3 linked regions of the Ovis aries genome follow. The protein of the gene in region 1 interacts with the protein of each later gene in a pairwise test. Links are inferred from orthologs where the notes say so. Each region holds a gene or a part of one and is shown in the gene's direction. Other genes may lie near its edges.

Region 1 (3,745 bases):
TTGATATTCCAGAACACCCCTGAATTCTTACAAGGTTTCACCTCTGACGCTTCTGACTTCCCAGGAGGTAATGCCTAAAAGCCCTGTGGATTCTTATCTGTTTTCCAAGATATCTCCAAGTGAGCCATTCAGTCAGACAGATTTAAGGATAGCTAGATAGAGTTCCCATTTTCTTTCATCGGGGCAACCAACTTGTTGCTATTACCAATCTTAAAATTTTACCCTCAGACCTTGCTTTAACCAGATGCCTGGTTATAGGCTTTCCTTCTAATACAGAAAGCAACTTCTATGCTTCCAGGGCTGAAGCACTAACTGACAGAATAATAAAGATGGTGCCAACAATGTGGGCAAAACTTCCTTGCCCAGAATATAAACCAAACAGAGGAAAAGTGGGTTTATTAGCTCCAGGAAAAGGAGCAACAGTACCCAGCTCTCGGACAACTCCTCACTTGCTATACACAGGCTGCACCCAGCCCTAGGTCCACTGGCTCCTTTAATTTGAGGGTTCATCCAGCGCCTCCTTTCCCGAGGTTTGCGGATGGCGAGCTGCCAGAGGGTGAGGTTTCCAGTTGTTCAGCAGCAGCACGTGGCACAGCTGAGGCAGCCTCGTAGTCTGCCATGCGGCGCTGTACCAGGGCAGGCATGAGCTGCACGTAAGTGGCCATGAGGCGGTGATTAGAATGGATCAGCTTCCCGGCACAGCTGTGCAGACATGCCTCCTGGAAGACAGGATGGAAGCAGAAGTCAAAGGAGTCCTGTCAGGTCCTGCCGCAACTCCTGCCTAGGGGCGAGGGTCATAGAAAGGCCGGGGCCAGAGGTAGGGGAAGTGGCGGAAGAGAGAAGCAGTCTACTGTTAACTCTGAGGATAGAGGGTAATTCCCCTACTCAGTTCCCCACCTAACCTCCTCAGCATCCAGAGCTCGGTGGTGCAGGCTGGGCACGCAGCGCTGGAAGCAGAGTTCCGTCATCCGATTGTAGACCAAAAGGAAGTCCCGCAGCTGAGAGGAAGGGGGACAAGGAACTCAGCGAAGAGGAGCCACATCTTAAGGCCGAGCCGCCCGAGCTTTCCCAGGATCGCGCCCCACGGCCCGACGTTCCCAGCCCTCAGATGCTTGGCTATTTGGGGTTCCCGCTATGCAGACAAGGATGCTAGTTGAACGCATGGCCCTAAAGCGACTTAGCTCCCACTCACGTTTCTCAATTGCTGCTGCTGCTGCTGCTGTTGCTGCTCCATCACGCCACCAGCGTGAGCTCTAGGTCATTTCCTTTTCAGCTTCTCGGTAACGCCCCGGAAGTGACGTATCGTAGCTCCCCAGGGACAGAAGGGTTGGCTCCAGGATCGCCCCGCCCCAGATGTCAACATCACTTCCGCCCTCATAATCTGCGACGTGGCCGGCTTCTTCTGCCCGGGTGGGGACGTCACTTCCGCCGAGTCCCTGACCTGCTGCTAGGATCGCGACGGGAACTGGAGCCGGAGGTCCCCGCGCGGCCCGGGCCTGGCGCCCTGAGGGGAAGAGCGGCCCGGCCCGAGGTGAGAGGGACATGCATGGGCGAGGGCAAGTTGAATGCACGAACCTGAGAGGGCAAGATGCCTCTGAACCCTGGGGAAGGATGAGGACACACCTGATGCCCAGGTGCATGGGGGGGAGGGCGGAGACTCACACACCTGGGGAAACTAAACTGACTTTGGAAGGGATCACCTACCTATGTCCTGGGAAAAAAGAGGTTTTTTCCAGAGGTCGAGAACTTAGACCAACTGATATAACTAAGGCCTGGGGGGCAGGGCCCGAGGAAGAGGAGGTGCATGGGATGGAGGAGGGGGAGACCACCTGCTGGAAAGGGGAAGAAACACGAAAGGAGTGTGAATAGCCAAACAGTGGTGAACATACCTGAATGGGAGTAGACACCGGAGCTCGGGGAAAGGGGTTAATCTCCTGATGGGGAGAAACACCTGCATGGGGATGAGCTTCTTGAGAACACAGACTTTATCTCTCTTGTTCGCTGCTGTATCTCCATTGTCTCAGATAGTGTGTGACACAGTAGGCACTCATTAAATGTCTGTGGAGTGATTGAGTACGTGAATAACCCGCGGAGTTATGGTAGGGTGAGGGGTTCATGGGGACATGACCTCAGGTCAGACGCACCTGAGGCCTGGGTTTGCCTGTGTACAAATATGCACCTTGGACGGGAGAAATACACAGAGTTCAGGGAAGAGTGGTGGCCAAACCCCAGAACTCTGAAGCCCTGGGACAACCTCTGAAATGGTAGGGGAGACTTTCCTCTTTGGAGTACTGGCCAGTTTCCAGAGCTGTCTGTGTTGGGCTTTGCAGGGCGCTGGGGTGAAGACCTTGACTCCAGTCCCTTCGCTCGCTATGACGGACGGGATCCTAGGAAAGGCAGCCACAATGGAGATCCCCATCCATGGGAACGGTGAAGCTGGGCAGCTTCCTGAGGATGATGGGCTGGAGCAGGTGCTTCTGTTTGATTCTTCATATTGTTTCAGTTGAGGAATCCCAGCTCATAAACCCTCAACTCTCACCTCCGTTCCAGTAGCCTTCCCCTAACTTACCTAACTCCCTTCAATCTTTTTACAAATTTTTGTTCTGATTCTGTGCAGACTTCCCTTGTGTGCTCTCTCTATGATGCTTCAATCCAAGCTTGTTTTCACCCCCAAAATGCTTCAGCTGCCCCTATGTTCCTGAAGCCTCCTCTTCTCTGGCCTATAGGACCTCCAGCAGGTGATGGTGTCAGGACCCAACCTCAATGAAACCAGCATTGTGTCTGGTGGCTATGGGGGCTCTGGTGATGGACTCATCCCCACAGGTATGAATGATCAGAACAGGACAGGGTGCTTGAGTGGAGATGGGGAGACGGATGGTTCCAGGGAGCATCAAAAGTTCAAAGTTCAAAGTGAAGTCGCTAAGTCATGTCTGACTCTTTGAGACCCCGTGGATTGTAGCCTGCCAGGCTCCTCTGTCCATGGGATTTTCCAAGCTTGAATACTGGAGTGGGTTGCCATTTCCTTCTCCAGGGGATCTTCCTGACCCAGGGATTGAACCCAGGTCTCCCACACTGCAGGCAGACTCTTTACCGTCTGAGCCACTAGGGAAGCCCTAGACTATGGAAGCATAGACTATGTCTAAGAAGGCTTGCATTTTGTTTGGAGATCCTTGGAACCTCTGCTAGTATGAGCCTTATGGAATCTCAGCCCAAAGCCAGCTCCCAGAGTTGTCCTTCTGCTCCCACTTGCAGTTTAGCCCCACTTGTACCTTTCCCTGCTGTCACTGCCTAAGACAAGCAAAGAACTCTGTTTCACAGCTCTCCTTCCCCAAACCTGCTCTAGAGCCTGAAACTGATTTGGAACTTTGTGAGGCTTCTCAGAGTTTTAATTTGACTCTTAACATTTAGAAGAACAAACAGTTGTGAATCTCACACTGACTAGAATCAACATGGGAATTGTCAACCAGGTTTTCTGTTTGCTGGACTCACCATCCATGATCAGTCACCCCATACTGGGCCTACTTCCTGCTGTTTCCTCTACCCCTGTACACATGCCACTCCCTCTTCCCCCCTTTTCCAACCCTCACTTTAAGAAGAGGCCACTGTATATTGGGATTTGGGTCTCAGGGCACAATGTAGAAGTTTCTCCTAGTGAGTAAGAGAATCTAATTGTCTCTAGCTTCTGCTCCTTCAGGGAAGTCATTTTCATGTGCTGGGAGGGGAGTGGTGGGGGAACCACAGAGGT
Region 2 (3,745 bases), on another chromosome or scaffold:
GGTAAATTGGGGCAGGGAATCCAAGCCATACATAGAATGTTAAAAAAAAAACAAAAACAAAAACAAAAACAAAACCCTAAGTGTTTAAAAGAAAATAACAGGGTCTTCGCTGGTGCTCCAGTGTTTAAGAAGCCACCTTGTAACACAGGGGCCTAGGTTTGATCCCTGGTGGAGGAACTAAGATCCCACAAGACTCTGCAGCAAATAAGACCTCCTGGGGCAACTACTGAGTTCCTGCAAAACAAGGAAAGTTCCTGTATGATGCAGGAAAGATCCCGGGTGCCCTAACTGGGACCTGGTGCAGCCAAATAAATAAATGAATACTTGTTTTAAAAACAGCAATTCATAAGTTTCAGTCAGGTGAAACCAATAAGTAAAGCTTTATGTGGAAAGTATAACATGCATTTTCATGTCTACAGAGCAGTGTGATGTGTGCGTATGTAAAAATTAGAAAAATAGGCATCATTCTACCAGCTACCATTTAAAGAGCACCTACTTGGGTTTACTATTCTCATGTTGTATCATGTAATTCAGACATCCATATAGAGCAGCTAACCTCAACCCCACTCCACAGATGAGCACGCCACTGGCATGCAAAGCAGCCGGTTCCCTGCCCGCCATCCACCGCCAATAGATGTTGGCATTGACCCATCTGACTCCACCAGGCGACAATGTCCTAGTGGTGTTTTTAAAATCCCACAAGAGTCTCATTTAAAACTGATCCACTCCCCTTTTTAGGTGTGACTGATGACCTTGAGTCACAGCTCCAAGACCTGACTTGTAGTTACATTGAGGAAAGTGGGATAGGGAAGCTGTGAGAGTTGGGAGGAGAACAGGTGAAGGAAAACGTGGAAACTACCGGGAGGGAGACTAAGGGGGAAAAATAAAGAGTCGGGAAGTGGAGCCAGGAGCGCTGGCCTGGGTGGCACAGGGGACCGGCAGAGCGGGCGCAGGAAGAATCGGGCCAGGTGGCCGCCGCACCTGTGCACGTGACCCCCGGGCGCCGCGGCGGAGGCGCGCTCACCTGGGCCCACGTGACGGGGCGGGGCCCGGCCTGGCCGAGGACGGCGCGGCCACGCCCCCTCCCTCCCGAGCGGCGCGCCAGGACCCGGCGGGCCCGAGCGGCGGCGGCGGCGGCGGCGGGAGCCCGGGAGGCGGAGGCGGGCGGAGGGAGGCGGCGGCGCGCGGAGACGCAGCAGCGGCAGCATGTCGGCCGGCGGAGCACCAGTTCCGCCGCCTCCGAATCCCGCCATGTCCTTCCCCGCGCCGCGGGTCACCCTGCCCGCCGGCCCCGACATCCTGCGGACCTACTCGGGCGCCTTCGTGTGCCTGGAGATTGTAAGTGGGGCAGCCTGGGCGAGGGTCGCGTCCTGGGTGGCGAGGACGGGCGGCCGCATCCTGGGCCCCCCCGAGCGCTGTCTCCCTCTGCGCGGTACCCCCGCTCCTGTCCCCCCGACGTGGCCTCCTCCGGCGCTCCTACCCGGGTCCTCCCGGTGCCCAGCGCAGCCCCCATCTGGGCGGCGGCGCCACCGCCCGGGCCCTCTCGCCTGGCACCTGTTACGCGGCCACCTGCTCCTCCGCTGGCGACAGAAATGGTCCCGGGAGAGCGATCAGGAGGCTCCGCGGGACCGTGGATTGGAGACTTGGAGAGTAGACGGGCGATTTGGGTTTGGGGGTACCGTCGGAGACCCCGGGAGGCTTGCCCGGGGTGGGAGGCCCGCGGGGTTGGAGGCCTCGCCTGTTGCTACCTGCCATTTTATTGGGTGGTGCAAGGTGTAGCCGATGACTGGGTGACCAGGAGGCCGCCGGGATGTGGAAAGCGGGGGCGGGAGGTACCAGGAAGAGGAGAAGGAAGGCTAAAGACCTGGGCACTGTTTTTTTTTGGTTTTGGTTTTCCCGTTTTGCCATTCTGAGCGCCCTTTGGATCGGGGAGAGGAGCAGGGCTCAAGAAGCAGAGCAGGGGAAAGGTGAAGCGCGGACGGTCGCCCCTGGCAGTAGCTAACGCAGTGGACTGAGGCTGGTAGGGGAAAGGTACAGACGTACGTGGCTGTTAGGCTCCGAGCTGCCGGCCTTGGCGCCTCTCCCTCATCTACCTTTGAGACTCAGCCCAGTTCCTTGGGCTTAGGTGACCGTCGAGTTATCCGGCCTGTCGTGCAGGCTTCTTGGGCTGCAGACTTGAACTTTTAAAACGTCATTTTATGGAGTTGGGAGGTTTTGAAGCTCGCTGGGAAAAATGTTCAAATATAAATTGGGCAACCTTAGGTTGCATCATGCCCTGAGAACGGCAAATACAGAGGGAAATGTTCGCGAGTCGGAGCCTTTTCTGCAGGCGGGTTTTGTTTGCTCGCTTTGGAGTTTTCCTTTCGTCCCCTCAACCCCCTCCTTTGCGTTTGCATAACCTGGATTTGGGTCGCTTAGGTTTCACTTTTGTGCTTGCGGGGCTGGGACGCCTGGTGAGCATTGGTTTTCTGCCCTATTGTGCTAAGGCACCCTAAGTTAGGTTTTAGCTCAGATTTAAATCTGAAAAAGGAGACAAGTTAAGTTCCAGGCTTTAACATCAGTAATCGGATCGTGACTGCGAGGCTGGAAGAGGCCGATTTGAGTCTGTGCCCAGTTTGGAAGTATCTGAATACTTGGGATGAGGGACGAGCATCCAGGTGAGAAGAGCCAGGAGAGGGAGGCTTTGTGCGGTCTGCACCGCTAGGCCAAGGGAGACAGTGTAGACCAGTGAAGGCTGGTGAGAAAGATTTCACAGGTTCTGGGCCACTTGAGTTTGCTGTTCTTCAAACTCCAGTTGTTTTACATACCTCTGTCAGAAAGTGAAAGTGAAGTCTCCCAGTCATGTCCAACTCTTTGCGACCCCACGGACTGTAGCCTGTCAGGCTCCTCGGTCCACGGGATTTTCCAGGCAAGAATGCTGGAGTGGATTGCCATTTCCTTCTCCAGGGGACCTTTCCGCATTGCAGGCAGATGCTTTACCATGGGAGCGATCAGGGAAGCTCACCTCTGCCAGAAGTTTTTGCCATATCCACTTGTTCTAGAATTTACAGATTGTGCGCTTAAATGCGTTTACCTTCTGCACTTCAGTACCTTATCTTAGCCCATCCTAAGCATTAAAAACATGAATTCTCAAATGTGATATGCTGGTTATATTTTTCTAATATTTATTAAAATAGATACTTGTAAATATATACATATGTATGTATATATGGGCTTCCCAGGTGGCGCTAGTGGTGAAGAACCTGCCTGCCAGTGTAGGAGATGTGAATTCAATCCCTGGGTTGGGAAGATCCTCTGGAAGAAGGTATAGCAACCCATTACAGTATTTTTGCCAAAAAATCCTATAAACAGGGGAACCTGGCAGGCTATGGTTCATGGGGTCACAAGGGGTTGGACATGAATGAATGACTTAGCAGAGCAGAGCAGGTGTACGTATATGTAACGATATGTGACGTACATATATGTATATATATATGCAAAGAAGGCTTATCCCTGTGCTATCAAATCACACGCCATCTCAAGAACCATCTGTGTTTATGTGACACTTTCTGGAAACTCTGCTTAATTCGGAGGGAAGAAAGTGGAAAATGATTTACTCTATTTCCTCTCTCCCACCCCAGTATCCTCTTTATTTATCTAACCCAGTGGTTCTCAACTCCCGCCATACTTAATTGCTCAGGCAGATTTTCAAAACAGTCCCTAGGCCAGACTAATTAAATCAGACTCTCTAGGGGAGCACCTCAAG
Region 3 (3,745 bases), on another chromosome or scaffold:
CAACTGTAGTCTAATGTAAATATTCTGAACACGTTTAAGGCAGGCTAGGTTAAGCTATGATGTTCAGTAAATGCACTTTCGACTTTAGATATTTTCAACTTACAATGGGTTTATTGGGATGTAACCCCATTGTAAGCCAAGGAAAATCTGTACTGCTGTAAATGAGGAGAAAGGGCATTTCAAGAACCTTCTGTGCTTAGCATTATTAGTGCCCTTCTTGTATCACAGCTGTGACTGTTCCAAGGTAACGCTGCATGTCTAGACCAGGTGCAAAAATGAGTGTGATGAAAGTGGGAGTAGGCAGGAACAGAGAAACACAGGTGCAAAATCCCTCACTTTCCTTGTAATACTAAAATTCATACTTGAGGTATACTGCCTCAAACCACACTTCTGAATATTAGGCCTCAACTGTTTATCTTTCAAGTTCCAACTTCCTAACTGGCCCAGTGTCCAGTTGTTTCCTTCAGTCTCTTAAATTCATCACTCTCCCTCTTCCCTATGAAAAAAGATCTCCTGATTCAGAGCTCCCACCCCCACCCCCCAGCAACCTAGCCTTAGCAGTGAGTAGCAACACTGGTGCACTGAGGGCTCTCGGAGGCCTACACCTATCCCTGGTTAAGAAATGAAAATGAGAGCTGAAGGAGTAAGGTCCAAAGCAAGAGATGTTCACTCCTTCTCTGGCTTCCTGACTGCCCAAGGAGCCCCAGTCTCCACTGCGCCCACTACGCCGCCTCAGTCCTTAAATAACAGGCAGAACCCTGGGGCTTCTCACCTGTTCCCACTGTCTCAGCCCTATTCCCTAGCTTCCGCCACCACCGCCCGCAGATTCCAGCCCCCACATCGGACCCCGCCCGGACTTCGCCTCCAATACCGACTGCTTCTGCTGCAGCCGCTGCCATGGTGATGAATCTCGCGAGATCTGCCGCTCGCCGGTGCGCAGCTCTCGCGCGATCGGGGAGGTGGGAAGTATCCCGGTCTGGGGGTGGGGGTGCGCCGCACAGCTCCTGTCGCCGTCGCTGCTTCCGGTGCTAGGTGGAGGGCAGGAAGGAGGGAGCCGGGAGCGAGGCCAGGGGAGCAGCCGCGCTGAAATCGGCTGAGGGAGCCGGAGAGAGTGGAGCGAGAGCCGAGCGGAGCCTGTGGGGGCGGAGGCGGCGGCCGCAGCGGCGGAGCTGGGAGCAGGAACAGGTGAGGGGCTTGGAGGAGGGAAGGCGGGTCCGGGTAGAGGAGAGGCTCAGGGTGGGGGCTGCGAGGATAGAGTCCCCTCGCCCCGCTCTCCGCTCGCTCGCCCGCCCGGCACTGCCTGGCATAGAGCGGTGTGGTCCTTCCCTCCCGAGAGCTCGGGGAGGGGGCGCCGGGCCGGCCACACGCCTGCCCCCGCATTTGAAGGACGCTGAGCTGGTGTGGGGGTGGGGGGCGGTTTTGTCCTCCGCCTCGCACAAGGGGGCGACCTGGGCTGCAGTGAGGAGCCCCTCGCCTGCAGGAGGTGGGCTTTTGAAGGGTCGGGGTTGAGGGGGAGGAAAGCAGTCCTGGGTGAGGTGACATGGGGGCGGCGATGACTGTTTTGTGTTCTTTTCCTATTAAAGGGCTAGGGAATAGCGCTTTTTCCTACCCGCTTTCCGCCTTCACCTTGGTAATAGACCAGAGAGAAGCCTTGCTATGATGACACCCCTCCCCCTATCGTGGGGCAGGGGTCCGTAGGGGGGTTAGGGATTAACCTGGAACACAGGCTAGTGGGACACCCCAGGGGCACTAGCCCCTGGTGGAGGTTGAGCTTTCGGGTCCTGGGAACCGCATGTTGAGAAGAGGGCAGCAGGTGGGGAGCCAGAAGAGAGGAGGCAGCAGAAGGGGGAGGGGGATCTGGTCTTGCTTAGAGAAGAGAGGTGGTGCCTTCCTCCCCCAGGCGTAGCGGGGGCGGTCTCACAGGAGGAGGGAGCTTCTGGTCGCCAGCTCTGAGTTTCGGTCTTCCAATCCGCTTTCTTTCTTTAGGAAGTACCAGGATTCCCGGAACCGAAAATGGAGCCGTTGCTTACACCAGTGTTTGAGGGAAGAAGGTGGGGGTGAGGGGTAGGATGGAATTCCCTGTTAAAACCGGGCCACTTGATTAGCCAAGTTGTAAGTCCTCTTTGGGGAGAGTTCCCTTCTTTCTGGCTTGTATTACCGCTGGTCTCCCTCTGGCTAGGCCTGGAGGACTGTGGTATGTGGTCAGGAGTGAGAAGAAATAGTGAGGTCATCGGGGGAGGAAGAAGTGTAACTTAAAACGCGTCTCCGTCTCTGTTGGATTGGGTCACTCCTGGTCTATGGCATGAAAGTTTTATTTGGTAGGAGATCTGCTGCAGGAGTCTGATTGCTTAGGTCAGTGCAGGTAGGGTCTGCATACTTCTTCCCCATCCCTATTCAGGTGGTGACAGTATTTGCTACCATTTTGTCTTGAGCTTGTTGTTGGGGTGTCTCCACTTGCTATGACTGGAATGGGTCAGTGAATTGGTCATTGTGCATTAGACTTGGGTTTGAATACCATGTCTATAAAAGCTCGTTCTAAGAAAGAAACTGATCCACCTTTTCACAGAATGGATCTTTGACCTTGGATTCAGCTTGGAAGGGTCCTCTTGTATCACATATTAACATTCCTCCTGCCTCCCGGCATAGAGTTATTGTCTTGGGTAGTAAAAAAAAAAAAATTTTTTTTTCTTTTGTAGTCAAATTTTTTATGCGTATGTCTTGCTTTTCCAAAGAGATGAAACTTTGAGTGCAGGAATTGGATCTCATCTTGTGTCCCTCACACTGCCTGGGCACACAGTAAGCTCTCATGAATACTGAATGTGAATAAATAGAACTTAGGTTTTCTTTTCTTTTTTTTAAAAAAATATTTATTTATTTATTTGGCTGCACTGGGTCTCAGTTGTGGCACTTGGGATCTTTAGTTGCGGAATGCAGGATGGGCATGGTAACTCTTAGTTGTGGGATCTAGTTCCCTGACTAGGGATCAAACCCCGGAAAGTCCTGAACTCCGGATTTCTGACCACAGTTTAAGGAAAGAGAAAGAGATGGCTTGGCTGTCATAGAGAGTTCCTGAAGATAGCTGAGTGAGGGTCTAAAGGTCTTTACCCTTTGTAATTAAGGTCTTGGTCTCTCCACGTTTCCTAAGAGGCACAAAAGAGTCGTGGATAATGAGTTAAGACCCCCAAAAGAAAAGTGTTAGAACACAGAGTCATTATTTAGCAGAAATCCTAGATCTCCTGCTTCCCTGTTTTGGGCAAAGGAGTCTCTCCTTTAGACCTAGGTCCTGCAGAGTTGTCTGCAGATTGAGTTCCTGATAATTATGGAGAAGGGAGCCAGTGTATGTATCTGGTACCTGGCATAGAATTGGTGGCAATGAATGGTAGCTGCTATTACTAAACTGAATGCAAGTGTAAGGGAGGACAGATAGCAGGCTAGAAAGAGTGGAAGTGAAGTCTTCCGTGCACGGAGTCATAAAGTGTGTTTGTCTCTGCTGCCTTCTTCCACTGGAGTCATAATAGAGGAAATGGACTCAGGACAGTGGGCGGGATTTATTGGTTAGAAGGAAGTTCTCTAAAACCAGGTTTGTTAAGAAGGAGTCAGTGACTGAGGGAAATTGTGGAATCTACTCCCCCATATACCTTTAGAAATGGATTTCAAGAGGCCTCAGACTCAAAACATGTCACTGTATTTCACTCTCCTCACCGTTTTGTGTGTGTGTGTGGCTACTGTGGAACTTGCCTGACTT

Evidence for each region.
Region 2: the proteins of ARFIP2 (region 1) and MAL2 interact in binary tests that used the Homo sapiens proteins (3 or more experiments, as listed by UniProt). The two-hybrid records come from large-scale screens. The link is inferred for Ovis aries from reciprocal best matches to the Homo sapiens genes ARFIP2 and MAL2.
Region 3: the proteins of ARFIP2 (region 1) and ARF3 interact in a two-hybrid assay, tested with the Homo sapiens proteins (2 studies listed by BioGRID and IntAct). The link is inferred for Ovis aries from reciprocal best matches to the Homo sapiens genes ARFIP2 and ARF3.

The regions. Positions count from the first base shown.
Region 1 is NC_056068.1:46,309,866-46,313,610, forward strand, and holds the start of ARFIP2 (arfaptin-2), read left to right. Parts: upstream 1-1,421; 5' UTR 1,422-1,634; intron 1,635-2,330; 5' UTR 2,331-2,372; coding exon 2,373-2,471; intron 2,472-2,726; coding exon 2,727-2,823; intron 2,824-3,745. Other genes in the region: TIMM10B (mitochondrial import inner membrane translocase subunit Tim10 B), read right to left, coding at 507-719, 903-998, 1,193-1,234. UniProt on the Homo sapiens protein: Plays a role in constitutive metalloproteinase (MMP) secretion from the trans Golgi network. May have important functions during vesicle biogenesis at certain cargo subdomains, which could be predominantly utilized by secreted MMPs, such as MMP7 and MMP2.
Region 2 is NC_056062.1:58,085,752-58,089,496, reverse strand, and holds the start of MAL2 (protein MAL2), read left to right. Parts: upstream 1-1,167; 5' UTR 1,168-1,206; coding exon 1,207-1,338; intron 1,339-3,745. UniProt on the Homo sapiens protein: Member of the machinery of polarized transport. Required for the indirect transcytotic route at the step of the egress of the transcytosing cargo from perinuclear endosomes in order for it to travel to the apical surface via a raft-dependent pathway.
Region 3 is NC_056056.1:137,260,427-137,264,171, forward strand, and holds the start of ARF3 (ADP-ribosylation factor 3), read left to right. Parts: upstream 1-1,085; 5' UTR 1,086-2,051; intron 2,052-3,745.